Linked DNA regions of Arabidopsis thaliana. The protein of the gene in region 1 interacts with the protein of each later gene in a pairwise test. Each region holds a gene or a part of one and is shown in the gene's direction. Other genes may lie near its edges. The genes, in order: PUP3, AT2G18480, CAT4 and CAT7.

The links.
Region 2: the proteins of PUP3 (region 1) and AT2G18480 interact in a protein complementation assay, tested with the Arabidopsis thaliana proteins (one large-scale study listed by BioGRID).
Region 3: the proteins of PUP3 (region 1) and CAT4 interact in a protein complementation assay, tested with the Arabidopsis thaliana proteins (one large-scale study listed by BioGRID).
Region 4: the proteins of PUP3 (region 1) and CAT7 interact in a protein complementation assay, tested with the Arabidopsis thaliana proteins (one large-scale study listed by BioGRID).

What each region holds. Positions count from the first base shown.
Region 1 is NC_003070.9:9,858,448-9,865,041, reverse strand, and holds PUP3 (purine permease 3), read left to right. Parts: upstream 1-3,473; 5' UTR 3,474-3,607; coding exon 3,608-4,297; intron 4,298-4,373; coding exon 4,374-4,739; 3' UTR 4,740-4,751; downstream 4,752-6,594. Other genes in the region: PUP1 (purine permease 1), read left to right, coding at 488-1,195, 2,480-2,842; ATJ1 (DNAJ heat shock family protein), read right to left, coding at 5,065-5,149, 5,582-5,671, 5,994-6,063, 6,144-6,192, 6,337-6,393. UniProt on the Arabidopsis thaliana protein: May be involved in transport of purine derivatives during pollen germination and tube elongation.
Region 2 is NC_003071.7:8,007,324-8,014,711, reverse strand, and holds AT2G18480 (Major facilitator superfamily protein), read left to right. Parts: upstream 1-3,434; 5' UTR 3,435-3,468; coding exon 3,469-3,583; intron 3,584-3,718; coding exon 3,719-5,130; 3' UTR 5,131-5,611; downstream 5,612-7,388. Other genes in the region: PERK4 (roline-rich extensin-like receptor kinase 4), read left to right, coding at 6,945-7,388. UniProt on the Arabidopsis thaliana protein: Plasma membrane sugar-proton symporter.
Region 3 is NC_003074.8:923,598-933,318, reverse strand, and holds CAT4 (cationic amino acid transporter 4), read left to right. Parts: upstream 1-3,316; 5' UTR 3,317-3,618; coding exon 3,619-3,727; intron 3,728-3,813; coding exon 3,814-4,015; intron 4,016-4,095; coding exon 4,096-4,180; intron 4,181-4,410; coding exon 4,411-4,551; intron 4,552-4,639; coding exon 4,640-4,758; intron 4,759-4,844; coding exon 4,845-4,941; intron 4,942-5,140; coding exon 5,141-5,313; intron 5,314-5,431; coding exon 5,432-5,498; intron 5,499-5,649; coding exon 5,650-5,808; intron 5,809-6,030; coding exon 6,031-6,235; intron 6,236-6,366; coding exon 6,367-6,475; intron 6,476-6,768; coding exon 6,769-6,881; intron 6,882-7,145; coding exon 7,146-7,221; intron 7,222-7,301; coding exon 7,302-7,449; 3' UTR 7,450-7,763; downstream 7,764-9,721. Other genes in the region: RIF10 (polyribonucleotide nucleotidyltransferase), read right to left, coding at 8,413-8,724, 8,823-8,864, 8,954-9,071, 9,148-9,242, 9,326-9,433, 9,522-9,595, 9,720-9,721. UniProt on the Arabidopsis thaliana protein: Permease involved in the transport of the cationic amino acids.
Region 4 is NC_003074.8:3,311,220-3,319,890, forward strand, and holds CAT7 (cationic amino acid transporter 7), read left to right. Parts: upstream 1-2,733; 5' UTR 2,734-2,749; coding exon 2,750-3,149; intron 3,150-3,212; exon of another isoform or gene 3,213-3,247; coding exon 3,248-3,816; intron 3,817-3,908; coding exon 3,909-4,140; intron 4,141-5,389; coding exon 5,390-5,943; 3' UTR 5,944-6,121; downstream 6,122-8,671. Other genes in the region: AT3G10590 (Duplicated homeodomain-like superfamily protein), read right to left, coding at 1-92; AT3G10595 (Duplicated homeodomain-like superfamily protein), read right to left, coding at 686-968, 1,328-1,596; AT3G10605 (uncharacterized protein), read right to left, coding at 7,122-7,140, 7,471-7,616; AT3G10610 (Ribosomal S17 family protein), read left to right, coding at 8,240-8,662. UniProt on the Arabidopsis thaliana protein: Permease involved in the transport of the cationic amino acids.

The sequences.
Region 1 (6,594 bases):
TCATCTAAAGATAAAACCAAGTATAAAGATATTTCTCTTAAATCACGTCTGTTTTTTCTTCTCGAAATTTTGTTTTCTTGCTTTTTATACACACAACGAAAATTTAGCGTAACACAGAGAGACGATTTGTTTTTTTCTATCTCCACAATTCAACTCTTTCTTTTGTCATACTCAATGTATGTAGAGCAGAAAATAACACGTCTCTTTTTTTATCACGATAAAACAAAGGACCATCCTTAGTTGGAAATTCAAACCCTAGTAGTAAGTATAACGTTTTAAAATCGCAAACGCGCCCGCTATGTTATGTCCCACCGTTTTAATTTCCCAACTTCCTTGACAATGTATCACACGATCCAAAACCACAAACAAACAAAACACACACAAAATGAAAAACATATAATTGCTCATTGACCCCTCAAGCTGATGAGAAATATCATCAAAAAGGCCAAAACAGAGGACAACAAAAACAGCAAGCAGCAAGAAGAAGATGAAGAATGGTTTGATAATCATAAACTGTATTATCCTCACTATAGGAACATGTGGAGGTCCTTTGTTAACTCGTCTCTACTTCACCAATGGCGGAAAACGAATCTGGTTCATGAGCTTCCTATCAACCGCTGGTTTTCCAATCATCCTCATCCCTCTCTTGGTCTCCTTCCTCAGCCGTCGCCGCAGCAACCGCAACCCTAACAACGCGGAAAACAAGCGGAAAACAAAGCTCTTCCTCATGGAAACTCCTCTGTTTATCGCCTCCATTGTCATAGGGTTGCTCACAGGACTTGACAACTACTTATATTCTTACGGATTAGCATATCTGCCAGTTTCAACTTCATCGCTCATAATCGGAACTCAACTAGCTTTCAACGCTCTCTTCGCTTTCTTGTTAGTCAAGCAAAAGTTCACTCCGTTCTCCATAAACGCCGTCGTTTTGTTGACGGTTGGTATCGGGATCCTTGCGTTACACAGTGATGGAGACAAACCGGCTAAGGAGAGCAAGAAAGAGTATGTGGTTGGGTTCTTGATGACTGTGGTTGCAGCTCTTCTCTATGCTTTTATATTACCGCTCGTTGAGCTAACTTACAAGAAAGCTCGTCAAGAAATCACTTTCCCACTTGTGCTTGAGATTCAGATGGTCATGTGCCTTGCTGCTACTTTTTTCTGTGTCATTGGCATGTTCATCGTTGGAGATTTTAAGGTAAGAAATTTACAGTTTTTTTCACGTTGTGTTTTTAGTATAAGAGAGAGTATCATGGGATGATCTTGATAAAAAAAATATTATGCAGATTTTGATGAAGACTTTAGCTGAGTTTTTGGATTCTCTATTTTTAATGTTTTTCTAAATTATATAGTTTTTTTGTTCATTTTATGATAGAGGCCAAAATTTAGTCTGGATTCCCAAGAAATGAGGAATACTAAGATTTGTTCTTTTGTATTATTAATGGAGAAAATCCATGGAAACAATTATATATATAGAAATTATTTCAGAATCATTGGTACTAGACTATACTAGTCAACCAAGATATATTGGTATCTGTATTTAAACATTTTCTAAATACATATGGATATTATAGAATATTTAACAATTTTAATATAGATTTCCTGGTTATAATAAAATATGTGATTTTATGTAATATTTGTCTTCCTGATCTTTTATTAAAAACAAATATTATATAAAATACAAGATAAAGGTTTGAGCAATTTATAAAATATTTAACAATTTCAATAAGGTTTTATGTAATACTAGGTAATCACCCGCGCTACGCTGCGGTATTTTCAGATTTTTTGTATCGTATAATTTAAATATAATTTTTAATTATCTAATCATTTACTTATGTAATAAGTAATTATTCTTAGTATTAAAATATATTTTTTCTAACAACATTCTCAACAATGCATTATACACACAATTCCTAAACAATGTTCATCTTAAACTAATTAAATAGAGGGTAATACTGGAATTCTCGAAACCTAAGAATTTGATGATTAAATTTCTTACATACTCTTCACCCTCGGCGATTTATTATATAGATATATAACAATATGCAAACTATTCAAACTATTAACTAATCCATGACTACTATACACTCATAATTTGAGTTAAGATTACAGAAAAAAATCTTCTGAGTATGAGAAAACCAATAAAATTATTTTATTGAACAACATGTAATAACAAAATAAATTTAGTATTAGTACAATTAAATATGTAAAATTAAATAATAAATACATCATTAATCTATAAATTAAAAGTTGAAAGCTTACATTAATTATTATGTGGACACATGGCACATGTTAAAGTGATGATGTGTCAATCATATGGAGAGAGTTGGCCAACTTTCATATATATGATTTGTCTTCCTTATCTTTTATTAGAAACATTATTTAAAAATTGTTCAAACCTTTATCCTGTATTTCCATATCTATTTAAAATTATGATTAAACTTGAGAATCAACTAAAATCATCATCATACATGTTTTGTAGGTGATAGCAAGAGAAGCAAGAGAGTTCAAGATTGGAGGATCAGTGTTTTACTATGCATTGATAGTGATCACAGGAATAATATGGCAAGGTTTCTTCTTAGGAGCCATAGGGATTGTGTTTTGTGCATCATCACTAGCTTCTGGTGTTCTGATAAGTGTTCTGCTTCCGGTGACTGAAGTTTTCGCCGTCGTTTGTTTCCGGGAGAAGTTTCAGGCAGAGAAAGGTGTCTCTCTACTTCTTTCTCTTTGGGGATTTGTCTCTTACTTCTACGGCGAGTTTAAATCCGGCAAGAAAGTTGTTGATAAACCTCAACCGCCGGAGACAGAACTGCCTATTCTTCCTGTTAGTGATTATGTTGCTTAATTTCTATAACTCTATAGGATTATAACAGAGCATTACTGTTATGTTTTGTTCCTAATATTATGTGTGATTGTGTGTTTTGTTATTGTTCTTGTGTATAAGTATGAATAAATTTGAAAGATATTGAGCTATTTGATAAATGCAAATTTTAATACACTTGTAGTAGAAATAGAATGATAATGATAAGTAAAAGATAGGATATTTCGTATTTGATAAAATCACATCCTATTTATCGATTTTATAAAATAAACATTTCACACTTTTAATTTAAGATTAATATAATTTATCTATTTAATATAAAAATTTGTATATAAATCAAAGAACTAATATAGAAAGAAGAAGAGAAAACAAAAGAGATAGAGTCAAAGAACCAATTAACCATCCTTAAAATCTTCTAATTATAGAGAGAATTATGAACTGAAAATCTTAATGTCATTGCACTAAATTTAGAAAGAAATAAATCCAATAATCAAAACTGTAGAATTTGATGGAAACGTAAATTAATATGAGAGATATGATATTATCTGGTCTATAAGATAATTACTACGTTTTTTATACGAAATTAAACAGTTAGCAAAATTTATGGGTATAAAATAGGAAAAGTCATGTTTTAGCCATTGAAGCCTCGTTAGGTAAAAAGAAACACAAAGATCTATCACGACAGAATCTAAAACCGGACCAAATTTGTTCCAAAACACAGCAACACCAAACCTTATAACTAACTCCTTCGACCACCAACCTTCATTATCCACAAGAAATCAGACAAGAATGGTGAAGGCTCTTGTGATCATAAACTGCATAATTCTAGCCATAGGAAACTGTGGAGGTCCTTTGATTATGCGTCTCTACTTCAACAATGGCGGTAAAAGGATTTGGTTCTCTACGTTTCTTGAAACTGCAGGCTTTCCTGTTATCTTCATTCCTCTGCTCTTCTCTTACATTACCCGGCGCAGAAGCAACAATGTGGGTGATAGTACAAGTTTCTTTCTTATCAAACCGCGTCTTCTTATCGCCGCTGTTATTGTAGGCATTCTCTCAGGGTTTGATAACTACTTGTATGCATATGGTATAGCTTATCTTCCAGTTTCTACAGCTGCTCTTATCATTGCTTCACAGTTAGCTTTTATAGCTATCTTCTCATTCTTCATGGTTAAACATAAGTTCACTCCTTTTACCATCAATGCTGTTGTGTTGTTGACTGTTGGTGCTGCGGTTTTGGGAATGCATACCGAAACTGATAAGCCAGTTCATGAGACTCACAAGCAGTACATAACTGGTTTCTTGATTACTGTAGCAGCAGCTGTTATGTATGCTTTCATCTTGCCATTAGTGGAACTTGCTTACCAGAAAGCTAAGCAAACCATGAGCTATACCCTTGTGCTCGAGTTCCAGTTGATTTTGTGTCTCCTTGCTTCTATTGTCAGCGTCATCGGTATGTTCATCGCTGGTGATTTCAAGGTTAGTCACTCTTTTGAATCTGAAAACATACAAAAGAGTTTTTAACAGAGACTTGAGCCCTTTACTGTTTTTGCAGGCCTTACCAAAAGAAGCAAGAGAGTTCAAGCTTGGAGAGGCATTGTTCTATGTGGTGGCTGTGTTTTCAGCCATCATATGGCAAGGCTTCTTCTTGGGAGCCATTGGATTAATCTTCTCCACATCGTCTCTCGTCTCGGGTATTATGATATCAGTGCTTTTGCCAATTACAGAGGTTTTAGCTGTTATATTCTACCATGAAAAGTTTCAAGCTGAGAAGGGACTTTCTCTTGCTCTCTCCCTTTGGGGCTTTGTCTCTTACTTTTATGGTGAGATAAAGTCTGGCGAGGATAAAAGGAGAATTCAGCAGGAGGAGAGTCAGGAGACAGAACAATCTTCTTTGTCAAGACCCATAAGTGAGTGTTAAAACTCAACGAAGCATGGCTTTTCGTTTAAAGACATCATAGCACTCATTTCTCCGCCAAGTAGATTAGAAGATATGTTTGAGAAACTTGTGGGATTATGCCGAAAACACAATCTTAAAGGACTTTTTTTTTTCTTTTCTTTATTTCAGCTTAACTTGTTTGATGTCTCTTATTATTCACATCAAATGAGTTTGTAATAGAATTATGAGGTCAAACAATGACACTCTCTGTTATGCTGGTGAGCTTTTTGTTCTACCAGCAATAGATGAAATTAGTCTTCATTTGTCTTCTGTTGAATGCTTTTATCTTTCATCTCTCGTGGTGGCTTCATCCCATTAACCTGCTCAACAATAGCGCCAGCAGCACCATTAACGAGAAGTCGCGGATGATCTGAGGACCCGTTAGATTCCACCTGTAAGTTCAACCAGTAGAGAGCTTCTGGTAAAGCCTGTTTGGTTCATATTCATGATTCTTCATTACTATAAGGAACAATCGCTAGTGAGGAAATAACATTCAGTTGAATCAAAATGTAAAGAAAAAGCCCCAACAGACATTTTGGCTTTCTTACACTGTTTCCCTTAGAGCTTCTAGTTATTTCTTATAAGAGAACCTAGGTATCTCATTTTTCAATTATGTCTTGTTGTTATCTACATATCCGCCTTTTCTAACTCTTATTTCTAAGCAGGCCTAGAAAATGTACCAGTAATGTATAAGCATCACTAATTCTTCTATTGTAACCAACTACATTCCTTTGAGGTGAATTATACCAGATGTCCATTTACGTCTAACCATCTAATATTACACACAATATGCTGTTATAAACACAATAATAAAATTTACTTACCAACTTCCTTCAGCAGAGTCGCTCAACTCATTGTTGATTTCTTCCTTTGCAAACTCTTCCAGTATAGCACGCTGACGTTCATTCACTTCACTAGTAGATACAAGGAAAAAAGTAAACCGCATAAGCATATACCAGAAATCTATCAATATTAGCTCTTGACGGAAATGAAAAGAAGAGAATCCAACACATCCACATGCCACCAGAACATCAAGAAGCTTATGTAATCAGATTTAATAATCAGACGGCAGGGAAATTAACACAATGTTGTCCTAGGAAAATTATTTCAAAAACCGTAACTTTAGAGCAACAAAGTGTCTTTTCCATTCTAAACACTAGTAGAGTTTTTAGCATAGCATAATGTGGATGTCTCCAACAAGTGTATTACTTGAACTTCAAGTAAAAGAAATCTTACGTAGGAAAGTTAACGCGGAAGCGAACATACTGATCTCCATGATCTACAAAAAAGCCTTGCTTCGGTAGTCCTGCAGGAACTAACCTATTAAGAAGAGTACACGCAAATACACAAAAAAAATTGAACATATAGGCTGATAATTATATGTACCTTTGCCTCTTAAAACAAGAAGTTGATCAGGCTGAGTCCCCTTTGGTATCTGCAACAATTACAATAAGGTACCTCTATTATCTCCAAAGCCTTGAGATCTAACCTTCCTCTTGGTCAGAGGATGAAAACCAACTTGACTCAAATTATAAACAAACAAAATATTATATGAATCTCACTGGGAGACGAATCTTACATCTAGCTGTATCTTGCCTGAAAGTGTTGGCACCACAACTTTGCCCCCCAAAATAGCCTGTCAAATAAGTTTTCTAAGACATGTCCAGTATGGCTCAAGGGAGAAATAGTAGGAACAACGTGAACCATAAGAGATGAAAGGATGCACTATAATAGAAAAATACTGCAGCCGAGGTACTATGGCTTGGTGGCAAAATAGTGCAGTAGCATGCACTTGAGTTTTATGACTGGGGCCATCAAATTGAGTTTGAACCGATAT
Region 2 (7,388 bases), on another chromosome or scaffold:
CATATCCTAAACAGTCAAATAATTCAGCTTAAGCATAGATGTTCCTAAATTCACAAAGGCATAGAGTTTTTTGTGCCAATCCCATAATTGATCCCCAAAACAAGTCCAAATATTTTCAAGAACTTTATCACCATGCCACACAAAAATCATAGATGTGTTCTTGGCTCTTACACAAACAAAATAAGGAAAAAAAACGAGTCCCAACATTTTCAAGAACTTTATCACCATGCCACACAAAAATTCGTACCAACAATTAGTTTGGCCAATTTTAATGGCCTCCGTTACATTTTGAATTGCGTCCATCACTTCATCCCACTTACAATACTTTGTCCCCTTAAATCATTACAATATTTTTGTAACCAAATAACTAAATCTTTAACCGGACTGCCAAGTGCCAAGTGATCTCAAAATCAACAAAAATTTGCATTTTCTTACTTTTTTTTTTTTTGAACGACATTGTATTTTCTTACTTAATCTGAAGTTATAGATAACTAATAAAGTGTATATCAAAGTTTTTTTCAATGTTTAAAAAGACGCGAACACATCTAACTGGAAGTGTGCCTCTTGTCTTACGGATGTCCTTCTAGTAGAACATCTATAAAAATCTGAAAATCTTTCGGAAAAACAAAAAAAAAAACTTACAAATTGTTTTCCATCTAATCACGAACTTGATCATCAGTTCTCGTGATGTTGGAAACAAAAACTCAAAATATCATCACTTCATGTGCATTTGTACTAACACATGCATATCAGTGATTCGTTGGGTTCTTCAATTTTAGTAAAAAAGTTTTTTTTTTATCAAAACCATTTCTAAAAAAATTCAATTAGAAATTACGATAATTTTGACAAAATAAGGGCTACTTTCATTATTTATTATTTATGAATTTTGAAAAAATCCTAATGTGTTGACATTGTTCAAATAAAGAACTAATAAAGTTTTAGATGGAAAAAAAAAAGAACTACGTGTTTTTTTGGTGAAACTTTTGAATAAAGTAATAAGACCTACCCATATGATGATCTAACCTACCCAAGTTATCACTTGTATCGGAAAGTCCCCAAACTTATCTTTCTGGTTGTGTCGGCCAAATGTATCCCAACTAATACACACAATTTCACTTTGAATTTCTCTTTCTCTTCTTCCAGAAGATTTCTCCTTCTATCGTTGACCTAAATGATTGATCTGTCTTGGTTATTTTGTCACACGATGTGTATGCCAATCAGCTTTGGACTACAATGCATGTTAAGGTTCGTACTAAAAAAAACTCAGCATGAAGAATGTTGGTTCGAGGACTTAAATTCTGATCTGACGTAGCTAGTCTATCGATTATCTGCCTTTAAACCAAAGCTTTTTGGATTAAAGATAGGTAATCCGTGCGTTGAAGGTATATCATTTTCTTACCCAACAAATTCATTTAACCTCATAGTATAAATTTCGTTTGGTTTTGATTTTTGATAGCGACAATATATGCCTTTTCAATTAAAAGTGAAAAGAAAAAAACGCATGCCATTTACTTGTTTGAGTAAGTTACTCATTATGGTATATGCTCTTCAAGAAAACAAATCAAATACTACTTTTTCGTCACGTATCTTTCTTTTTCAGCTCACCAAAATATAACTTTCAAGGAATCATATCAAAACTTTACTATTTACATGGATTTTGTGCATTTGCATAATTTACGTATACAAATCCCAAAGGTTAGCGTTTTTGCCAACTATATATATAGATACTAGCTAGATGATTATCCAGATTTACTTCTTCTTTTTTAATAATATATATATCGTATATCCATTAAATGTGTAAACCTTTACTTCTAACAGATTTAGAGATCTATAAAACGTATACACTAAGAATTATTTAGAAAAACTAGAAGTTTGAAATAAGTTATTGTCTCTCTAATACACCAATATTGCTTCTTATGTTCATTACAATTTTACAAATGTATGCTTACCAGATTACAAAAGCATGTTGAAAATTCGAAGTTATGATACCAATTTATTAGTAGCGAATGTAAAAAAGACTAAACATAAATTGGACGTAGTCCACCAAGATATATAATGTTATAATTAGCGGGGTAAAATATTGATTTAATACTGGAGGCGTAATAACATCTTGTTTCAGAATTCCAACAACGTACGAGTAAGAAAAACAAAAATACAGTTCTCAACAGACTAATTGGACGTAAAACTCTAGGCCAGCCAAACTGACAAAGCATATGACAAAAATATAAATGATAGAATTGGCAATTTCAGAATTTTCCATCGATCATGCTAAAATGAACATTAGTTGGAACCCAAAAACATTTTTGTTTATCTTGCACATACAAACAGAGCTATAGGTTACGTTATGACTTATGATGTTCTGATTTATTGATCAAATCACACATCAGTTTTTTCCCAACAGATATCAATTTCATTATGTAATGATACATATAGTCTGATAGTATTATTCGTCTGTTGAGAACAACGGCTTTTTGTTGGATACAAGTTTTTTTGTTTCGTCAAAACAAGTTTAATTTTGGACTTCATCACTTCAATAAGAAAAAGAAACCAACTGAAAATAAATGCACCGTATAAATTTAGTTCACCAAATTATATAAATGTGGAAAAGAATCTTTAAAGGTTACGCCACTATTGAACATAGATCAGGAAAATGCCGAAAGTGAAGAAGATGGCGACTTTTAACTTACAATATTAGCAATATTTTTGGTCATATCGTATTAAAATTGATGACCTACCATTTAAAAATGGTGGATATAACTTCTTCTAGCATATGTTACTATAATGAATGATCAATTCTGAATTCTCATACATATGACTTCACAACGGAAACTTTTTGCTTTAGAGTTTCATAAATAGTTTACGACATACAATTTTTCATGCATTCCACTCACGAGAACAACTTTATACGTAACATGCAATTGCAAAACTACAATAATCGGGTTTACATGTAACATAGCATCTAATAAAAATCTTCACTTCCTTTATTAAAAAATAATAAAAATTGAAAACAAGAAGACCAAGTTCAAGTTCAACGAAGGTCGTCACAAATTATTTGAAGACCGTGTGCGAAACCATTTTTTAAACTCATTGTAACCTTTTAATTATTATTTTAACTTACGTATGTATTGGTTAAAACTTAAAACACTTGCCTGATTACACTACTTTTTTTTTTTGTTGGAAATCTTTTCAATTTATTTTGCTCGATATACTTCTCAGGTTGTATACGTCTAAATCTTGAGGAAAATTCATATCTTGCAGAAATATAATTCTCGTACCAGAATACGTGGGCACCCACAAACACTGTGGAACAACAGTAGAAGTTTTTGATCGTCATTGTTCCACTATGGATGCAAGTGGTGGACATATATAGTTATGTGTATATATATACTAGTAAATGCACACAATCGATATAACAAGTTATTCTAAAATTTAACCCAAAAAAAAAAAAAGAGAAGAAAAAGACTCAACATGGTTCATGCTGATGGTCATAATTTTCCCGGTTCGGATCCAAACCCTCATATGAACAAGTTCGCTTTCGGGTGTGCCATTGTTGCTTCCATCATTTCTATCATCTTTGGATATGGTAACATACTAACATTCTCTACATATCAAACAAAAGTTTTCTACATATATCATATAAAGATATATTCAATGGAATTATATTAATGATTTTATATTAACGAATATTTTTTTTTTTGTAATGGTGTGTTGTCCTTAGATACGGGAGTTATGAGCGGAGCTCAGATATTTATAAGAGATGATCTAAAAATAAACGACACTCAGATTGAAGTTTTGGCCGGAATCTTGAATCTTTGTGCACTCGTCGGATCACTAACGGCGGGGAAAACGTCTGACGTCATCGGCCGACGTTACACCATAGCTCTCTCCGCCGTGATATTCTTAGTGGGCTCAGTTCTTATGGGTTACGGCCCAAACTATCCTGTTTTGATGGTCGGACGATGTATTGCCGGAGTTGGTGTAGGGTTTGCTCTCATGATAGCTCCGGTTTACTCTGCCGAGATATCCTCTGCGTCACATAGAGGCTTTCTCACTTCTCTACCTGAGCTTTGTATTAGTCTTGGGATTTTACTAGGCTATGTCTCGAATTACTGTTTTGGGAAACTGACGTTGAAACTTGGATGGAGATTGATGCTTGGAATCGCAGCGTTCCCGTCTTTGATATTGGCTTTTGGGATTACAAGAATGCCCGAGTCGCCGAGGTGGCTTGTGATGCAAGGTAGGTTAGAAGAAGCCAAGAAAATAATGGTTTTGGTATCCAATACGGAAGAAGAAGCTGAAGAACGGTTCAGAGACATCTTAACCGCTGCGGAAGTAGATGTGACAGAGATAAAAGAAGTTGGTGGCGGCGTTAAGAAGAAGAATCACGGTAAAAGTGTTTGGAGGGAGTTGGTGATAAAACCGCGACCTGCGGTGCGTTTGATCTTGATAGCGGCCGTTGGGATACACTTTTTCGAGCATGCGACGGGGATTGAGGCCGTCGTGTTGTACAGCCCGAGAATTTTCAAGAAAGCCGGAGTTGTTTCGAAAGACAAGCTCTTACTAGCCACGGTCGGTGTAGGTTTAACTAAGGCCTTTTTCATAATAATAGCCACTTTCTTGCTCGACAAGGTAGGTCGTAGAAAGCTCCTGTTGACCAGTACGGGTGGGATGGTCTTCGCATTGACCAGTTTAGCGGTTAGTCTCACGATGGTTCAGCGATTTGGGCGGTTAGCGTGGGCATTGAGTTTAAGCATCGTCTCTACGTATGCATTTGTAGCTTTTTTCTCCATAGGGCTTGGACCTATCACATGGGTGTACAGCTCCGAGATATTCCCGTTGAGACTTAGGGCTCAGGGAGCGAGTATAGGTGTTGCGGTTAATAGGATCATGAACGCGACGGTCTCAATGAGTTTTCTGTCGATGACGAAGGCGATCACGACAGGGGGCGTGTTCTTCGTATTCGCCGGAATAGCGGTGGCGGCATGGTGGTTCTTCTTCTTTATGTTGCCGGAGACGAAAGGATTGCCATTGGAGGAGATGGAGAAGCTTTTTGGTGGTGGGGGTCCTCGTGGTGATCGTGACGGACTTGAGATTCAAACTAAAACCATCTCTATTGGGGGTTTCTCATAAGAGTTTCTCACAATTAAAAAAATAAAAATAATAAAAATGAAGGAGAGAGAGTGTAGAAAGATTCTCAGAAACTTTGAGATACTCTCTACAACCCATCATGACAATTCGCTTCTCACTATTGGTTCAACTTTTTAACAAAAATATTTTTTTAATCAAAAATTCAAATTATAATATAATATTAATTTTTTTTTGTTTGAGAAACTTTGTGGGTTTCTCATGGATGGAGATGCCCTTAGAGAGTCAATAATTAGGTTAGATTATCATGGCTATGTAGAATAATTTTTAAATCCAACATGATTTGGCATATCTATTATAAGGTGTGATTTTTTGTAAAGGACAAAGTATGATTTTTATATTCATCCCTTTTTACTGTAGCTAATGAGAATCTACAACCTAATAAAAAACAATAACAATTATTTAATTATAAAATCTAATAGTTCACCAAAACAAAATCATATATCGGTTTGGATTTATAAGAGAGGGTTAAAGTTTAAATTTTATGATTAAACGAAGTTAAATACCAGTTTAGGTTTATAAACGATTTTAGATTTTAGAATCAAACGAGGTTAAATGTCGGTTTAGAGTTATAAACGGGTTTGGATTTTACAATTAGATGAGGTTAAATGTCGGTTTGAGTTTTAGAAAGAACGATTTAAGTTTAGATTTTACAATTAATCGAGTTTAAATGTCGGTTTGGATTTACAAAATAGAATTAGAGTTTAAATTTTGTAATTAAACAAAATTATATATCGGTTTGAGTTTATGAAATAGTGGTTAAGATTATAGATTTTATAATTAAATGAGTTTATTTATTTATTAGGTGACATATTCTAATTGGCTGAAAGAGGTGAATGAAAAGGTGAACCAAGAATTGTTCGATTTTTAACTACACATCTAATTCTAGACTCTAGAGTATGCATATTAATGTTTCCAGAGATCAGAAAGTGCTTAAACAAAACATATTGATCACTTCATGGTTTTTAAGTCTTAGTTTAATTGATGGAAAGGAGAGGATTACCAATACTGAAGTAGAGTCATAGTTGATATTTGAGGGGTGAGAACCCTGAGATTCGTAAAGAAATCGATGAACTTGTGCGTGAAGAAATTAGTTTGATCATGCTCAAAGGTCTAAATAATAAAAAACCTTGACATTTGTTCCCAATTGAAGTCCTTTAATTGTGAGAAAAATTATGTTGCTCTAGAGCAATATTGAAGAAAAAGGAGACATATCACATATGGGAAGACCTGAGGAGCAATGATTTGATTTGACGGACCAAAATAAACCAGAGATTTTCCTGACAAATTAAGGTAATAATGCATGAGGTTACGTGGAAATGAATCAACAATCGTTAGCTCCTAATATCACGGAGCCAAAAAGAGAAAAATTAGACCGGAGATTATTACAATTAGTAACTAACACAAAACTGTTATTAAGACAGAAAGAGAGAGAAGAGGCATGTTTCTCGGAATGAAGACAGAGCAAATCTCAATCTTCCTTTTTCACCTTATTCCTATTATCATTTTCTGATCAAATGTTCAAAAACTCTCTCCCCTTAATCTCTTCCTCTAAGGTACACACTTTCATGCTAATCTCTTAACTAATTTTGTATTAATCTCTTATATTTAGCATTACCTGTTTTGTTAACGATCTAACGAACATAATAAGACAAGAACTTGTTCCAACGTTAACACCATTTTGATTATGATCTGTTTTTTCTACGTGTTGTTGTTGTTGTTCTCAGAATAATTGAGTGGTTAAGGGAGAGAGGAGACGGAGAGTTTTTATTTTCGTTACCGGAAAATTTTGATCTCCGATGGCTTCTTCTCCTGAATCTGCTCCTCCAACAAACTCCACCTCTTCTCCATCTCCACCGTCTAATACCAATTCAACCACCTCTTCTCCGCCGGCTCCGTCTCCTCCTTCTCCTACACCTCCTCAAGGAGACTCATCATCATCGCCACCTCCTGATTCCACATCTCCACCAGCTCCACAAGCTCCTAACCCTCCTAATTCCTCTAATAACTCTCCTTCCCCTCCGTCACAGGGCGGTGGAGGAGAAAGAGGAAATGGAGGAAACAATGGTGGCAATGATACTCCACCGTCACGCGGCTCTCCTCCTTCTCCTCCTTCTAGGAGTAATGGAGATAATGGTGGTAGCAGATCATCGCCACCAGGAGACACTGGAGGCTCTCGCTCAGACAACCCTCCTTCTAGCGGAGGAAGCAGTGGAGGAGGTGGAGGTGGAAGAAGTAATACG
Region 3 (9,721 bases), on another chromosome or scaffold:
TGTAAGGCTACATTATTTGCTTGTCTCTCGTGGAACAAGAGTGTTTACAAGTTTTCTTTTTATATTCAAGTGTTTTGGACTTAGAAAGGTTTGAAAAATCGTACTCAAATTATCTATATATCAACAACTAATCCTCTTTAGATGGTTTTGTTTTTGTAGATAAATTTGGCTTTTAGTTCCCATCAACATTTCTTCCATGGGTTTAAGTGTTGATCATGAGCTTAACAAGTCATTAGCTATATCAAATTACCAAAAGACTGATTCTCAAAACCGATCAAGAAAGAGCATCATTTTATAATCTAACTCGTGTAGAGTACTGAAATTTTGATTTGGAAATTAATTCTCACCGACTTAACATGGACCAAATGTACTTGATGTGCACCGACTTAACATGGACCAACTTGGTCGATATCAATACAATTCTGGACATCTAGAGGACGCTTATGGTACGTTGATTAGGCTTCCCGTGTGTATTTTGCTTGTGATCTCGGCATTCCATTGCCGAAGGTTCGAGGATGCGCGCATTCTTTCGATTGAACTATCTACAAACGCACCCAAGCTTGATGACGCTGATGACAGGAAAGCAATCCATTATAAATCCTTATGTGGACGAGGCTTAGCCAACATGGCTTTAGGCCACTATTACACAGCCGCTGTTTTGGTACGTAAACTCATATAGATATATTTATGTTTTGTTTATAATTATGTTTGGTATAACTTATATTCATCAATATTTATTGTTTTCGCAGTTTGCGCATTTGGTCAAATGCTATGCCAAGTGGTCAAAAAACTCTTTTGACCTCTTTACTTGGGAGGATTTGTTCATGTACACGGCATGGTGTGGTCTTGCCACGATGAAAAAAGATGAGCTTGAGGTAATACAATATTAATCGATTATATATATATAAAAATAAATAAGCCGACTTGTAAACTTTTTTTATTGATGATTTTTTAGGAGATTTCTGAGAGGATGGGAAGTCAAAAAGTTGGCCACCATTTCCAACACTTGATTAGAAAAACTCTTGGAGGGTAATATATAACTCTTAAAAAATTTCTATTGAATACACTTGTCGGCAATTAAACAAGCTTGGTTTATTTGTTGCAGGATGTTTAAACCACCATGCTTGGATTTTTTGAAAACTCATTCAAAACCAAAGCACTTTTGGACTTATACCTCCACGACCATGTGAATGCTCTTGAGATCCTCATCCAGGAGAAATTTAGGGTGTGATGCATGGTTGCTTTAAAACTATCTAGTTTTGTCTTTTTTGTAAGGCTACAGTATTTTCTTGTCTCTCTTGGAACAAGAGTGTTTGCAAGTTTTCTTTTATATTCAAGTGTGTTGGACTTAGAAAAGTTTGAAAAATCGTACTCAATATCAACAACGAATCCTCTTAAGATGGTTTTGTTTTTGTAGATAAATTTGGCTTTTAGTTCCCACCAACATTTCTTCCATGGGTTTAAGTGTTGATCATGAGCTTAACAAGTCATTAGCTATATCAAATTGCCAAAAGACTGATTCTCAAAACCGATCAAGAAAGAAAGCATCATTTTATAATCTAACTTGTGTAGAGTACTGAAAATTTGATTTGGAAATTAATTCTCACCGACTTAACATGGACCAAATGTACTTGATCATTTTCAATATAACAAACTAGTGCACCGTACCGTATTATAAAGTCTTTATGTATTTTTTTTTAATATAAAAACATTTTCAGATATATTTATTTCCAATAAATTCATTTATTTTAAGAAATTAACCAAAAAGAAATAAAAATGAACAAACATATATAAGTATCTTGATTAGAAGAAGCAGGAGACAAACCCTAGATGAGTGAGTCCGAGGAAAAGACATGCAACGACGATCCAAAGCAGCCGACACTTGTCCGAGACCTGGTTATATCGATCTTGGATCGCTTGAGATTCTCTGATTTTCATCGAGCCAGATGCATTTCTTCAGAATGGTATTACGCCTCGAAATCGTGCATCAGAGTAACAACTCCATGGATCATAATGTTTCCATACAACACAGATTGGAAAGAAAATTCATCATGTAAGTTGTTCAATCCTCGTGACCATAGTTGCTACACTTTAAGAGATGTCGGGTTTGATCTAGCTAGTAGTCGTTGTTTGGCCAGTTCCGGTAGATGGTTCCTTATGTTAGACCATAGAAACGATTTTCATCTCTTGAATCTGTTTACTCGAGAGAGGATTTATCTTCCTTGTCTGGGTGCAACCGATGGATGTCCGATAGAATTTTGGAGAATCAATAATAATAATTTTTGGGTGACTCTCAATGACCAAAACAATTCTGCAAAAAAAAAAAAAAACTTCACATATGGTCATGTGTCTTAGAATAGGCAAAGCTGTTTTGTGGGTAGATGAAGAAACCAGAGACTACTTAGTTGTTTGGAATTATGATGGCTTTTTTGCATATCACAAGAAAGGAGATGACAAGAATAACTGGAAAGTGATTCAACCTTTAATGAATCAACGATGCGTGGATATGGTGTGTAAAGAAAGCAAGCTTTACGTGCTTACTGATACTCACGTCACTGTTCTTGATTTCTCCCACGCTGATGCTTCTCCAATACAATGTGCAAGTTTCAAATCTCCGAATTATGGTAATGATTCGTTTTGCGGCAAGAATCTTGCTGTGACTTTGTCAGGACAAGTTTTGATCGTTATACACAGTGGGGGTGTCTACAAGATGGATCCTAAATCATTAGAATGGAGCAGAACCAATTCTTTAGGAGACGAAGCATTTATTTTTGATCTAGGAATAACTGTTGCAGCCAAAGATGGAGTTATGAAAAATTGCATATATTTTTATGCTGACCCGCCTTATCGACCTAGGAGGAGGTTTGTACGCAATGCTGAAAGCGGTATTAGCGTATACCATATTAAAACCAAGAAAGTGGTCCAAGTGTATCAACCAGCTCTTACTGCTTCGTCTCCAATATCTTTCTCTTCTGCTCGATGGTTCTTAAATAGTTGCTTCAAACCTAAATCAAGTTTTGTCTCTTGGTAAAGTTTGGAGTATTTTCTTTTGTTTTGTACTGGAACAAGATTTGTTGCAACTTTTCTTTTTTATATATTCAAGTGTTTTGGACTAAAGGATTGATGAATTGGAGATTAGACGGGTGATTATTGATTGTCTATAACATTTGGGCGTAATCTGTTATAATTTACATTACCGTTCTGTTTTTGGTAAAGAGAAGATCCACATGTCCATCAATTTTTACTGTGACATTGTAAAAAAAGTAAAATCTGTTAATCTGTTTTTAAGCTGAGGTGCAGATAAATCTCTTAGGATAGAGAATTCATGAATCAAGAGTTGCCCATTGCACAAATTAGCCCAATTGTTAATAAAAAGGAAGAAATAAACAAAATCACAAAAGTCATCTAAACTTTGAAGAATCTTTACCAACGAGAATCTCACAAAAGTTGGAATCGTGCACGCCTCTCGAGTTATCTCCGGCTCCGATACTCCATCTGGTGGATTCTGTAGAAGAAAAAATTTCAATCTTTGTTGGATTTTCTGGGAAAAACTCAGATGGGTTTGCTCTGAATCGATTGGAAAATCAAACCGGTGTGGACTCTGCAAAGTTGGTTGATATGAACAGTCTTGTGAGAAGAAAACAAGTTGATTCTGTTCATCTTATCAAAAACGATGGACCTCATCAGCTTGCCAAGAAACTATCCGCCGTTGATCTTGTTGCTATTGGTATGAGAAAGCTTCAAGCTTTGGCCAATTTTGATCAAAATTCCTTATGGGTGTTGATTGTGTTCCTTTCGGTGTTAATTTGTCAGGAGTTGGGACAACAATTGGAGCAGGAGTGTATATTCTTGTGGGAACGGTAGCTAGAGAGCACACAGGACCTGCTCTTGCTGTATCATTCTTCATTGCTGGAGTAGCTGCTGCTCTCTCTGCCTGTTGTTATGCTGAGCTTGCTTCTCGTTGTCCATCTGCTGGGAGTGCTTATCATTATGCGTACATTTGTCTTGGAGAAGGGTATATATATATGGATTTTAATAGGATTGACCTTGTTGTTCGTCTTAAAGCTGATACTCATGGATTTTCTTATTTCATAGGATTGCTTGGTTGGTTGGTTGGGCACTGGTGTTGGATTATACAATTGGTGGATCAGCCATTGCCCGTGGCATAACTCCAAATCTGGTATTTGCCTTTGAGTTATATGTGTTTGGTTTCAGTCAAGAAGTTAATCACTTAGCTCCTTTTCTTTCTTTTTTCAAAACTATTCTCAGCTCTAATTCTCAAACCCAAGATGCACTTGTTGTAAAAACGTTTTTCTTTGGAATATAATTTAACATTATTTTCAAAAAAAAAATATATGTATTTGTGGTCTTTTGTTGATTTAATTCTGACTGGTGTTTCTTTTGTTTTAGGCATCTTTTTTTGGTGGTTTGGACAATCTTCCTGTGTTCTTAGCTCGACAAACTATACCCGGGGTTGGTATTGTGGTTGATCCATGTGCTGCACTTTTGATTATGATTGTCACGATACTACTATGTTTTGGGATAAAGGAGGTACTTTATTGAAGACATTTTAAATGGATTCATTTCAGGATTATCAGATCGTCTAATAGTGTTATACCGGGTTATTTTGTTCTTACAGAGTTCAACAGTACAAGCAATTGTAACATCAGTGAATGTTTGCACCTTGGTTTTCATCATAGTAGTTGGTGGATATTTAGCTTGCAAGACTGGATGGGTTGGATATGATCTCCCCAGTGGGTAATTAGCCTGTTCTCTTCTCCATTGAGCGTAGCTTTTGTCAAAAGTTATTTCTTAAAGTCAATGTTTAATACTTGTCTTTACAGGTACTTTCCTTTTGGACTAAATGGGATACTTGCCGGATCTGCTGTAGTATTCTTCTCATACATTGGATTTGATACTGTAACTAGTACGGCTGAGGAGGTATACAGTTTATTGAATAATACTCTCATTCTTTTTGATTTATTATCCTTCTCTTTTCTCTACAAAGGACTCACTTTGACGATTCCATATAGAACTAGTAATAAAGGATGATTTTTGGTCTTAGTATAGTGAACTTTTTTTCCATAATTCTGGCGATTTTCTCTGTTAAGCTCTTAACCTTTTGGTATTGCCACAACAGGTGAAAAATCCTCAAAGGGATCTTCCATTGGGAATCGGGATTGCATTACTGATATGCTGCATTTTGTATATGCTTTTATCAGTAGTTATTGTTGGATTGGTCCCATACTATTCATTGAATCCTGATACTCCTATCTCCTCTGCATTTGGAGACAGTGGGATGCAATGGGCAGCGTAAGTATGATACATCTCTTGACACTCAAATTTCTTTGTATTAATTAGTCACGATGCATATACACATACTTCCTTTTGTCTTTGCTTTTTTTTTTCTTATTATTCCTATATATTTCAGGTACATCTTAACCACTGGGGCAATAACTGCTCTATGTGCGAGTTTGTTGGGTTCCCTTCTGGCTCAGGTACTAACCAATTCTATCGTTCTGAAAATCCAAGTTCAAGAGATTTTGTAATTGAGATATCTTAGTAGTAAAAGTAACATGCTGGTTCTGTGTGGGTTTTGGAAATGCTTACATGTCGTTTTGACAGAGCTTTGTATTTTTTTTTTATTAGCCACGAATATTCATGGCAATGGCTAGGGATGGATTGTTGCCAGCTTTCTTTTCAGAAATTAGCCCACGAACTCAAGTACCAGTGAAAAGCACAATAGCTATTGGTGTTCTTGCCGCTGCACTCGCATTTTTCATGGATGTTGCACAGTTGTCCGAGATGGTAAGCTGGTATTTGCCTACATTACATGTCTCAAGTCTTAAGGAAGGATTTTCACCTACAATTAGTGGCAAACAGAAAATTGAGGGTTCATTATTAGTAGTATAGTTTTGATATTGTTGAAGCAGTTAGTATTATATAATTTAGTTGAGACACGCCTAAACACACTCTATTACGGTAACAGATCCTTCTCTGAGTAGCTCACATCGGTAATTTATCCAACAGGTTAGTGTAGGCACTCTAATGGCATTCACTGCCGTTGCAGTCTGTGTGCTAGTTCTTAGATATGTACCACCAGATGGAGTTCCCCTATCATCTTCCTCCCAAACTTTGAGTGATACCGATGAAAGTAGAGCTGAAACTGAAAATTTTCTTGTGGATGCTATAGAATCTTCTGATTCCCCTCTACTTGGAAATGAAACTGCTCGAGGTACTAAAATGTGCTCAATCACGTAGTTACCATTTGGATATGTTGTAAAGATACATCCAACAATTCAATCTTTTCTGCCTTTTATCTGCATTTAAGAAATATGACTTTTTTGCTTCTTTTTAATTGAACAGATGAAAAGTATTTTGGAAAGAGGAGAAAAATTGCTGCCTGGAGTATAGCTCTTGTGTGCATAGGTGTCCTAGGTCTTGCTTCAGCAGCTTCAGCTGAGCGTCTTCCAAGGTCGTTTCATCATCTGATATCTTATGTCTGTATAACCCGTCCTGCATATATTCCCCACATCTAATTATGTCTACTAAACAAATCTATTTAGTTTGGTTGAGATGCTTGATTAGCTGTGAACGATATCACTGCTACTTGCATGTCAAAGCGGTTAAGTATGCTCAATTAGAAAATGCATTCCTGTTTCAGAATTTTGTGAAGCACTTTTCAACTTGCTGTGTTGAAAGATTTGCATGTTATTATCTTTGTAATATGGTTATGAACTCTAATGGGTTATTTCTTGACTTTTGCAGTTTTCCTCGTTTCACTATATGTGGTGTCAGTGCAGTCATCTTGCTTGGCAGTTTGATTACTCTTGGCTACATTGACGAGGATGAAGAAAGGCACAACTTTGGACACAAAGGAGGTAAGGCCTGAACCTTATTCAAGCCTTTTTTTTTGCCTACTCATACATCACAAAATGAGAAGTTTAATTGAATATAAGATTCAGCGAGCCATCAATTGGTTGGTCTTACTTTCATCAAAAACGCTGCTTAGTTATTAGTTTCTTGCTGAGTTGGTTATTACCTGGTTAGGACGAAAATTTTGAGGTTTTAGCAAAAACCATAAACTTGGATTTATACTTGAGCAGCGTTTTCTAACTGGCATTCTATATATGATTCTATTTCAGGGTTTCTCTGCCCATTCGTCCCATACCTTCCAGTTCTTTGCATTTTGATCAACACCTACTTGATCATCAACATTGGGTGAGTTAGTCTGATGGACCCATGTATGATTCAGTATATTGGGATGTTTCTAAACCCTTGCTGGTTATTTGTAATGGCAGAGCTGGGACATGGATCAGGGTCTTGATATGGCTACTTATTGGAAGCATGATCTATATCTTCTATGGCCGATCTCACAGCTTACTGAACAATGCGGTTTACGTTCCCACAATGACTTGTACGAGAAAAACAACAGATCATCTTGCTTAAGATTGGTGGATCAATGCTGCAGTTAAAGGGACTCGAGCTCAAGCTTTGTTGTTGCTGAAGTAGCATCTAAAGAGAATTAAACAGTTTGGCACAAGAGTAAACACAAGCCAATATATACAACAACATTTTATGTACATTGATAGTCATTCCATTTTCATGTACACAAGCCAATGTATATCTCTTAAATGCCAATTTCATGTTTTATTCCTTTTTCCATTTCCAGTTATAAAGTTTGCCAATATTGGTTAAATGATCTTGAAACTGCCAAGTCCATCTAGTAAGTCGAAACATAACAAAAACTGGGAAACTTTGATACTCTGCAGATAAAGAGTGCAAGAACATTTAAAAGTTGCAGATCATCTTGCTTAATATGGGCGGTTCAATGCAGCAGTTAAAGGGACTCGACCTCAAGCTGTTGTTGCTTGTACAGGCTTAGAAATATATGTGCTCTTGTTGTGAAATGTATCCAGTTATATAGTTTTCTTCACTTAGCTAAGTGATCTTTAAAACTCTTGAAGTTGCCAAGTCCATCTAATAACTCGAAACATAACAAAAATTGGGAAACTTTGACAAGCTGAAGAAAAATCATCTATCCCAAATAAAATTTAGTCAAAAACATTAATATATCAAGTAACCTAAACGGACTAATGAGTTTGCAAGAGAGAAGACAACAGAAAGAACTGATGAAATGTCTGAGAATCTCCCAACATATGACGTCTTCAAAAATGTTATCCTCCTCCACACCAGACTTGCCAACATATATGCACAGCTTCAAGAAACTGCCAAGAAACATAATTACAAAACATTAGAAAAAAAATCAAGAAAAGACATTTGCAACTTGTCTTGTCTCAAGTTTTCAAGATTTCTCAAGTCGCACCTGTGGTTCCGTTGGAAGAAACTCTCCTCCTTTCGTAATGAGTCTCACGAGACACAGATATGAACAGTGATCTTGTTTGCATTCCACTAGCTGATTGTAGCTTCACCGTTGACTAAACTTTCTTCGTTGGTACTGCTATTGCTATTCATTGTCTTGTCACTACTACCACCAGTTGCTCTCCTTACATCTTTCTTCTTCAGGACAAGTTCATCCCCAGATGAAACCTTTGATGCTCCTGCAGCTGCACGGTCCTTTGACGAAGTATTTACATATTTCCTTTGCGAACTCTTGTCTTTGGTAGAATCACCTGCCGGCTGTTGTTTCTGACTGTCTTTGTCTGTCTCTGATTCGGGAAGTAAAGCCCGTACACTAAGTCGAAGCTGACCCTTTTCATTTACCTGCATTATCCATGTTTCTTTGTTCAACAACTCTCTAATTATCATTTCCGATTAGTTATATTGTCTCTTGAGTTATAAAGACACAATAACTCGCTGACCTCTATTAATTTGACGTCAATGCGGTCTCCTACTTTATAGGCCTGAAAGGACAAGAATGAGCGTATGTGAAAACCTGAATAAAAGATGAAACAATTTCTATAAAGGAAGGGAATCAATGAGTAATGCTCACATCCTCTGGTTTTGCAAGCCATTCAGCACTCAGCTCACTGATATGGCAAAGACCTTCCCGCCCAGGCGCTATCTCTACAAATGCACCATAAGGAGCCATTGACTTGATTTCACAATTCCTGATACAAAAAGAAAGGTAAGAATCCAAATCTATTTACGCTTTTTGGTCAGAGAAGGTATATGAAGGATACATACCTGTAGATATCACCAACAGAGGGAACCATTGTCAATCCACTAATAATCGCTTTCGCCCTTTCTAGACTCGCTACATCAATTGCCATAATTTTGACCTTGACAAAGATAAATATTAAGAAGTTAGGATAAAGAATACCCAATAAATATAAAATCACATTTTTTTGCATGTATATCTCACAGTTCCATCATCTTGCATGTCAATGGCCTCAACTCCAGATTCTTCAATGATGCTCTTTACTTTCTTACCTCCAGAACCAATAAGAGAGTATACTTTGCTTGGATGAACCTGCAGCACATGAAACGCCAACAATCTTTAGTTCAAGGCAGAAAGGCATTAGACTGGGCAATCCTGGAAAAACTAGTTGAAGCCAAACCTTCATAATAAGTATCAATGGAGCATATTTTGAGAGGCTTAGCGTGGGAGGCGGTGAGCACTTTGCCATTTCAGCTGCACAAAAAGGAAAAAAAAAAATATAGTAAATTACATCTTTTGTGGCATACATTTTCCAAGGAACTAAATCTCCCCAAGTCTACTATCTTGAGACTAATAATTCATGAATAACATTCCTTACCA
Region 4 (8,671 bases), on another chromosome or scaffold:
TTCACCAAACGCTTGTTATCCGGAGGGAATTGCGACAGAGCTGACTTAAAACGCCTGTTGTCGTCCTCCGTCCAGCGTGGACTCGAAGCCATAGTATCCGAGAAAATGAGAAAAAAAAAAAGAGATGGCTAAAAATTCAAGAAACAAGAAGATCGTTTTGTGGAATATGTTACGGAAGAGCGATTGTTTGTTCGTTTTAATTTTGGCAACCTGACAATTTATAGAGGATCAAGTAATGGGTGAAAATTACAAAATTAGCCCTCACTTTACAAAAAGAAACACGATTTCGTATTTAAACACGCACAACTTGACTCAGAAGTTTTCTTCTCGTTTACGTTTAGACGTACGCAGTGGGTAAAACTTGGAGTGTAATTTCAAGTTATTTTAGTTTCCTATTTAACCCCAACTTTATATATACTACGTACTTAACTTGAAAGCTCCATCTTACGTGTATCTTCTGTTTAGCCTAGATGAAATAAAGCAAAAAATAAAAACATTGAAATATATATTATTTTAATGGTTAAAGAAAATAATATAGATGACCACAAAATTAAATAAAATATGGTTTGCCAAAAAAATGGAAATCCCAAATCTTTAACATACCACACAAAAAAAATAATCAAGGGCCTTCAATATCTTTAGGCTTTTTATTTTTTGGTTGTTAATACAGTCATAGAGATTTATATCACTTTGAGTTGGGGGCCTTAGCATGGTGACCGATTTCCAGAGCGACGAGACTCTCTTGTTGGCCTGTTGAGTCCACATTGGTGTTATTTGCTCCCTGCCGTTTCATCACATTCACATCGGTGCTTGCCACATTTAAGTCGTTAATCACATTTTTCTTTGAGCTTTGCCACTGGTAAAAGTTTTCTGCATATATCTCGACTTGGATCGGGCTCTTGCAATCCAATAAGACGGCTATTTTACGCCAATCTTTCCCAAATCGGTCTAACCCAATCAGAAACCATCTGCATTACAATTTCCACCAGTTCATAGATCAGCCCATTTTAATCAAGTTTCACCATGGCATTATTAGTTAACGATATAAATTGAGTCAAATGAAAAAAAAAAAAAAACTATATTGTCCACATTAAAAAAATAATGCTAGAATGTGTAAATCGTAAGATCATAGGACTAAATACATTTTAATCTCAGAAATGAACTATGTGAATTATGGAGTCTAAGAGGAGAATGCGTCTAGCTAGATCCACAAACCAATACCAGTACTAATCAATCATTATGTTTATAATTGAAACTTATACGTGTATGTAAATTCCACTAACTAACAAAAATCATAACTCATCACTCATTAATCTTATATACTTACTCATGTGTTTCTTTGGTCCATATAGTTCTCTCGGCCTGGTACGAACTTTGAGCCATATCCTTAGTCAATTCATTAGGAAAAGCTACTCGACTGGATCCCATCTCTAAAAGATCATTGACCAATTCCTTGTAATGCTCCTTAACATCATCCACCGATCTATCCACATACTCGGCGACACTCTCAAACCGAGTAAGCAAAAAGGCAGTGAACATCACCAGTGCATCCTTGAACATCTCGTTCTCCTCTGTCGTCCATGAATTTTCAGCCATGATTCCCAAAACAAATTAAGGAAAATGAAGTCTACAAAACAGAATGGTGTGAATCTGGAGAACTACAGTATATATAATAACTCATGTAAGGGATATGGCAGCTTATAAATCAACTCAAGTAACAAAAAATATATGGCTTCTCTTCTCTCAAATTGGGGTGTATTAAGTTTCCTTCCTTTTTCTTATATTCAAAGGGTAAATTTTATTTCAGATTTTGCTATATTGCATACAAAGTCTTTATTTTATTTCTTTCTACTGATTTATTGTCATTCATTTAGTTTCCTATATCCTTTTTATTAAATTTGTTTTATAATATTGACGATTTTAGCCAATTAGATTATGATACGTGTACAAATAAATTTTTATTTTCACACGTGTTAGCAATCAGAATTATGATACGTGTTACAGCCAATTAGATTATAACACGTGTATAAACAAATTTATGTTTTCACACGTGTTAAAAATTAAAAATTTAACATACAAAAGATTATAGACCTAATACCACACAAATAAAATAAATAGTCAAAACTTTAGAAATTAAGAACTTTCATTAACATGAAAGAAACAAAAAATTGTTTATTTTTTCAAACTCTCTTCACACGAAAAGGAAAATAATCAATCATAATTATTCACCAAGTTGTGAATATTGCGACGGATTGCAACGATCCCGGTTACTGGTTGGTCACTCTGATACTTAAAAGAGTAACATTTTTATCCATGTTCGTTGGTTGCATTCGTTAAACAAACAAGTTGTGATTATTATCGACCATTGTCCAAGGAAAAATAAGCATTCATTATTTATACTAGGAATTAAATATTTGCCGTCTAAACTCAAATAATAAAAATTGGGAGACCGAACAGATTATAGAATATTTGTGTTAATGCTTACGTGATTTATTTATTTTAGTCGATGCTTATGTGATCACTGATCATTATGAATACAAAAAAATAGAAGCTACTTTAATATAATAAAACTAAGTTGACCAAAATAATAATAATAATTAGCGTTTCCAAAGCTTGTAATAAATTACACCAAAAAGCGTCTAATTCTTTTTTTCGTCTCTCAGTCTTTTGCAATCTCACATTATAAAACCACTTGTTTCAAATTACTCTCAAAAACATTATAATCCGTTACATATTGACCCGACCCGAAATGGAGGCCCAATACCGGAACCACGACGGAGACACCTCTTTCTCTAGCCTCCGTGTCTACCTCAACTCTCTCTCCGACACTCCCTCCCGTTTTTCCCGCCGAGCCGTTTCCGTTTCCACCTCTTACGACGAGATGAGCCGCGTCCGCGCCGTCTCCGGCGAGCAGATGCGTCGTACTCTCCGTTGGTACGATCTCATCGGACTCGGAATCGGTGGAATGATCGGAGCCGGAGTCTTCGTCACCACCGGCCGTGCTAGTCGTCTCTACGCTGGTCCATCAATCGTCGTCTCTTACGCAATCGCCGGACTCTGTGCTCTACTCTCCGCCTTCTGTTACACCGAGTTCGCCGTTCACCTCCCCGTCGCCGGCGGTGCTTTCAGCTACATCCGTATCACATTCGGTCAGTAACATTCTCCCGCCAAAATCAAAACTCCCAAATCGCAGAGAAATTCAAATTTCATTTTTTCCTCTCCGATCATTCATTTTTTTCCGTTACAGGCGAGTTTCCGGCGTTTATAACCGGAGCAAATCTGATAATGGACTACGTACTGTCAAACGCCGCCGTTTCAAGAGGATTCACCGCTTATCTCGGATCTGCATTCGGAATCTCAACATCGGAGTGGAGATTCATCGTCTCCGGTCTCCCAAACGGATTCAACGAAATCGATCCCATCGCCGTTATCGTCGTCCTCGCCGTCACGTTCGTCATCTGTTACAGTACGAGAGAGAGTTCGAAGGTGAATATGGTATTAACGGCGTTACACATTGCATTTATAGTATTCGTGATCGTCATGGGTTTCTCGAAAGGAGACGTAAAGAATTTAACCCGACCCGATAACCCGGAAAACCCATCCGGATTCTTCCCGTTTGGAGTTTCGGGTGTGTTTAACGGAGCAGCAATGGTTTATCTAAGTTACATAGGATACGACGCCGTTTCGACAATGGCTGAAGAAGTAAAAGACCCAGTCAAAGACATACCAATGGGAATCTCTGGCTCAGTCGCAATCGTCATTGTACTTTACTGTTTAATGGCTATCTCTATGTCAATGCTTCTCCCGTACGATCTGGTCCGTACCATCAAATACACATTTTTAATTTAAGCTTTTTTCTATGGGTTTTGTGGGTGAATGATTTGGTGTGGTTGTGTGTACGTAAGCAGATAGATGCGGAGGCACCGTATTCGGCGGCGTTTAGTAAATCGGAAGGATGGGAATGGGTGACGAGAGTGGTTGGGATTGGAGCAAGTTTCGGGATATTAACGTCGTTGATAGTAGCCATGTTGGGTCAGGCTCGGTACATGTGCGTCATCGGACGGTCAAGAGTTGTCCCCATTTGGTTTGCTAAGGTTCATCCCAAGACATCTACTCCAGTCAACGCTTCCGCTTTTCTTGGTAACTTTTTGTCCTTACTCTCAAACATATTTATTTTCATTCTATTAAAATTAACATCTTTGATCAAATATAATAAGTTAAATATTATTTATTTTTAAGGTTATGTTGGAATTTTCCTTTCGTAAAGATCGGTTTTATGTTTTTTCTCTGTTTTATTTTCATCAAGTGATAAAGAGACAGTTTGATAGTGGGGACATCCATTTTGGGTTTTTGTTTGTTTGTTTGTTTCCATGATCTTTTTGGATTTCATTGTATTGTTGATCTTACTTTTCACGTGATTTTACATACATATACTCGTAGGGAAGGAGAAATCAAGAAAATTGAATTTTGTTGTTTACTATTTAAAACATAAAATTTCTCCAACTGATCTTGTTTGGGATTGTGGTTTGTAGCTGTGTGACTGTGTGATCTATATTAATGTAGGCCATAGTCTTTTGTTCTTATATGATTTTTGGTGTTGGGTCTTAATTTAGAGCATCGTATACGATAAAAATCTCGTGGTCGTGTTCACCAAATGGCTTCAATCTTTTCAACGGTTTTGTTTGGGACATATTGTTGAGTCTCTTTGGTCCTTTTTTGTTTTTTAGTTTATGTATTCAAGCATTTTCTCTTTTTCAAGCTCTCAAATTTCCAACTCTTTATATGCAACGTTTACGTATAACATCTTAGTTAAGATATTGGTGAGTAAGATTTTGGAATCGTTTTTTATACTATAGTTTTACCAAAATGCATGAGTCGTGGAAGCGAATCTAGACCCACAGTTTTGTTTTCAATTGCATATTCCTTCTTATAAGCATTGGTTTCTTATATATTTATTCCAAATTTAAAGTGCTGTTCTAAAAGTTTTGGATACTATATTCTGTAAACCAAAAACTAAAAAAATAAATAAATAAAAGAATTTGTACACATACTCTAAGCCTCAAATAAAACAACTGTAGTTTACCAAATTTTGCATCCACTAATGTAACTAGACTTTGATTTATAATATTTTTGAACAAAGACCAAGAGAGATCTTGAACGTGGAACAAAAGCTCAAAATCTTTCACAAAAAGGTGTCTTATTCCACAAGTGAACTAATGGAACAGATTCTTGCAATATCTTCATTTTATTTATATAATCGACCTTTAAACATCTTGGAATATATCTACGTTATTAGACACTAATCTGATTGATTAAATTAACTAAAGAATAAGGATCTTGTCATATCCCTCTGCTTAACTCTTTAATCTTGTCTATACTTTTTGTTCAGGAATCTTCACGGCGGTTCTCGCCCTCTTCACCGACCTAAACGTCCTCCTAAACCTAGTCTCCATCGGAACGCTCTTCGTCTTCTATATGGTCGCAAACGCTGTTATATTTCGCCGTTACGTAACGGTCGGATACACGGAGCCATGGCCAACACTCTCCTTCCTCTGCCTATTCTCCATAACCTCAATTTTGTTTACCTTGGTCTGGCAACTTGCACCGTCGGGCCCACCTAAATGGTTCATACTTGGAGCTAGCACGGTCACGGCTATAGCCATCGTCCAGATATTCCATTGTGTTGTACCTCAAGCTAGGATCCCTGAGTTTTGGGGTGTACCGTTGATGCCGTGGACTCCATGCGTTTCGATATTTTTGAACATTTTCTTGCTTGGATCATTGGATGCTCCTTCGTATATCAGATTCGGGTTCTTCTCGGGATTAGTGGTGCTCGTGTATGTGTTTTATAGTGTTCATGCAAGCTATGATGCTGAAGGAGACGGGTCTCTTGATTTCAAAGACGTGGAAAGCCTTGAAAGAATTAACAGAGTGTTGAGTTAATTAATAAACAGAACTTGGTGACAATTTGACCAAAAGGAAAAAAATCTTGGTGACATGCAATTTTGTCTATCTGAACAAAAACAAAACGAATTTGTCATTTTGTGTTGGACAATTAGAGGAGCCTAGACTAGAGAGAGTAGAGGTTGATGTAATGTTTACAGAAGCTAGTGAAGTCCATTTTCAGTGTAGTCAATAGAATCTCACTTTCTTGCTTTTGAAGATGTTGCAACTTGAAATAGTTTCTTTCTCCATCTTTGTTGACTGACTTCTTCTTTCTGAAAGATTGTATCTTGATTTTCAGAATTAGATTTTGACATTCTTTTTACAGATATAGAATATTTTGTAATCCTCCCAAAAACAAATATTCGAAAGCCACTAAATAAAGACAACCCAACAAATATAACTGTACAAAATTGTAGAATGGTTTGACAAAAGTATTTATCAACTTTTGAATTTTGATCATAGTGACATGTATCTAATAGTGATTTGTTAAAATGGATAATACCGTAGAAGATAAAGATGGCAATAAAGTTTGTGAATAAATGAATTTTTTTATATTTCCATAAAATTTAGAAAAGGGATGATACTTTAGATTAGATGCTAAAAACAGCAGCAAGTATTTGGCATCTTGCAAGATCGGATATTGTTATACACCTCCACCAATAAAAGCACAAATCAAGTTTGCTTTATTCCTTTTCGTTATATCGAATATTTGTAAATGTCCAATTTGTTAAGTCATAACTAAAAACATGGATAACGTTGGTGTTGTTCGTTTGGCAGCAAAAACAATGGAATTTGATCACAAGGAGCTGAAATTCAAAACGATTGTCTTAATTGTTCCGATTGATAGATTCTATGCCCACTGATTTAAAATGGGCCTCATATTAAAAGCCCGTTTAAATCAGTTGTCTCGAAAATTGACTTTTTGGTCCATTTTGAACTATGATTTGGAGTTGCAATAAATTGAAAACAGCATGTAATTCATCTCTTCAATTGTTTTGTGATAAGAAAATGATATCAAAAACGTTTTCTATGTAAGGGTGTGTTTTGCACAAAAAATGGTCAGGGTGTGTAGTCTTTGTCCGTAATTTTCAGCAGAATCAGGTCGTGATATCAGAAGCTCTTCTGTGTTCACACCTATTGATTCTGCTAGAGAAGGATCCATGGCATTCTCTGCATCAAGATAAGCGCAATAACCTGGTACAAGCAAGTCCTTTTTAGATAAATAAAAAGCTAATGGAGTGAAGAACAAAAGCAAGTCAGAATCAAACTGTAACTTCACAAAATCGAATCTTAGCCAGAGCAAGCCAAAACGCTTCTTCTTCCATTCAGCTACAAAGCAAGATAAGAGTAAACACAAGAGACATTCGTTTAGTCAGGAGCTTGGGCAAATCATCAATGCTACTCTAAAGGAGATAACTTTATTTTGGTTGGATTGTTGTCCTAGTTTCTTCATCTGAAAAATCAAATCTTTCTTTCTTATACTCAAGCTAAGAATTGTTGAGAAACATTAGAGACGAAGAGAACCTGAGATAAGTAAGAGAAGAAACGGAATCTCTGAATCGGACTGGCCCATGAGAGTCGACCCATTCCCCGTTCTTCTTCAAGCGGCTCCTCCTTCGCTGTTCAGTTTCAATTCCACAGTTCTGTCTTCGATCTCCAGTTTCCGCCATGGTCATTGTCCTTAACCAGAAGTGGATACATAAAAATCGAAAACCGTATTAAACCGATCGGTTCAAGGCTAATGGAATCTAATTTAACGGAACCTATTAATAATCTAATTATTGGGTAATGTTAGAGTACAAGCCTATTAACAAACCCTAACTTTACCCATATAAATTCTTGCACACAAGTTTACTTTTTCTTTTTCTTTGCTTTCTTCTGTATTTGCCGCCGCTTCTCTGCTCTCCAGCTCCGGTCAATCCGTACAGGTACGTTCTGGTTACATTCAAAACGGCACTTCACCATAAATGAAAACATAGGAGAATTTCATAAAAGAAGTTGTGAAATTCATCTCTTTTAATTATAGATGCAGCTCGATTTTGGATCTCTCTTGATGTTCCTGCATCTCTCTAGATTGTATCAATACCCAAATGTTGAAATTTAACGGCATAATTGAAATTGAATCCTCATTTGTAGTTACTCGAGACTCTTATGTCAATTGTTGGTTCTTTCATAGTTTATTAGTCAGAAGTTGATGTATCTGCATTTCTCTGATTTGTATAAAGTAGTATAATGTGAATGTTCTCTGATGGTTTGTCTGAATTTGGGCAGGTAAGTCAAAAAGTTGTGAAAGATGGGTCGTGTTCGTACCAAAACGGTTAAGAAGTCTTCACGTCAGGTGATTGAGAAGTACTACTCACGGATGACACTAGACTTCCACACCAACAAGAAGATCTTGGAAGAAGTTGCAATCATCCCATCGAAAAGGCTACGCAACAAGATTGCTGGATTCTCCACTCACTTGATGAAACGTATCCAAAAGGGTCCAGTCCGTGGAATCTCCCTCAAGCTACAAGAGGAAGAGCGTGAAAGGCGAATGGACTTTGTTCCCGATGAGTCAGCCATTAAAATCGATGATGTTAAGGTGGACAAAGAGACACTAGAGATGCTTGCTTCTTTGGGAATGTCTGATATTGCTGGGATTTCTCAAGTGGAGACACAACAAGCTATGGCACCTGCTGTGTTTGGACGTCCCGCAGGAAGATACCAACGCTAAGTTTATTGG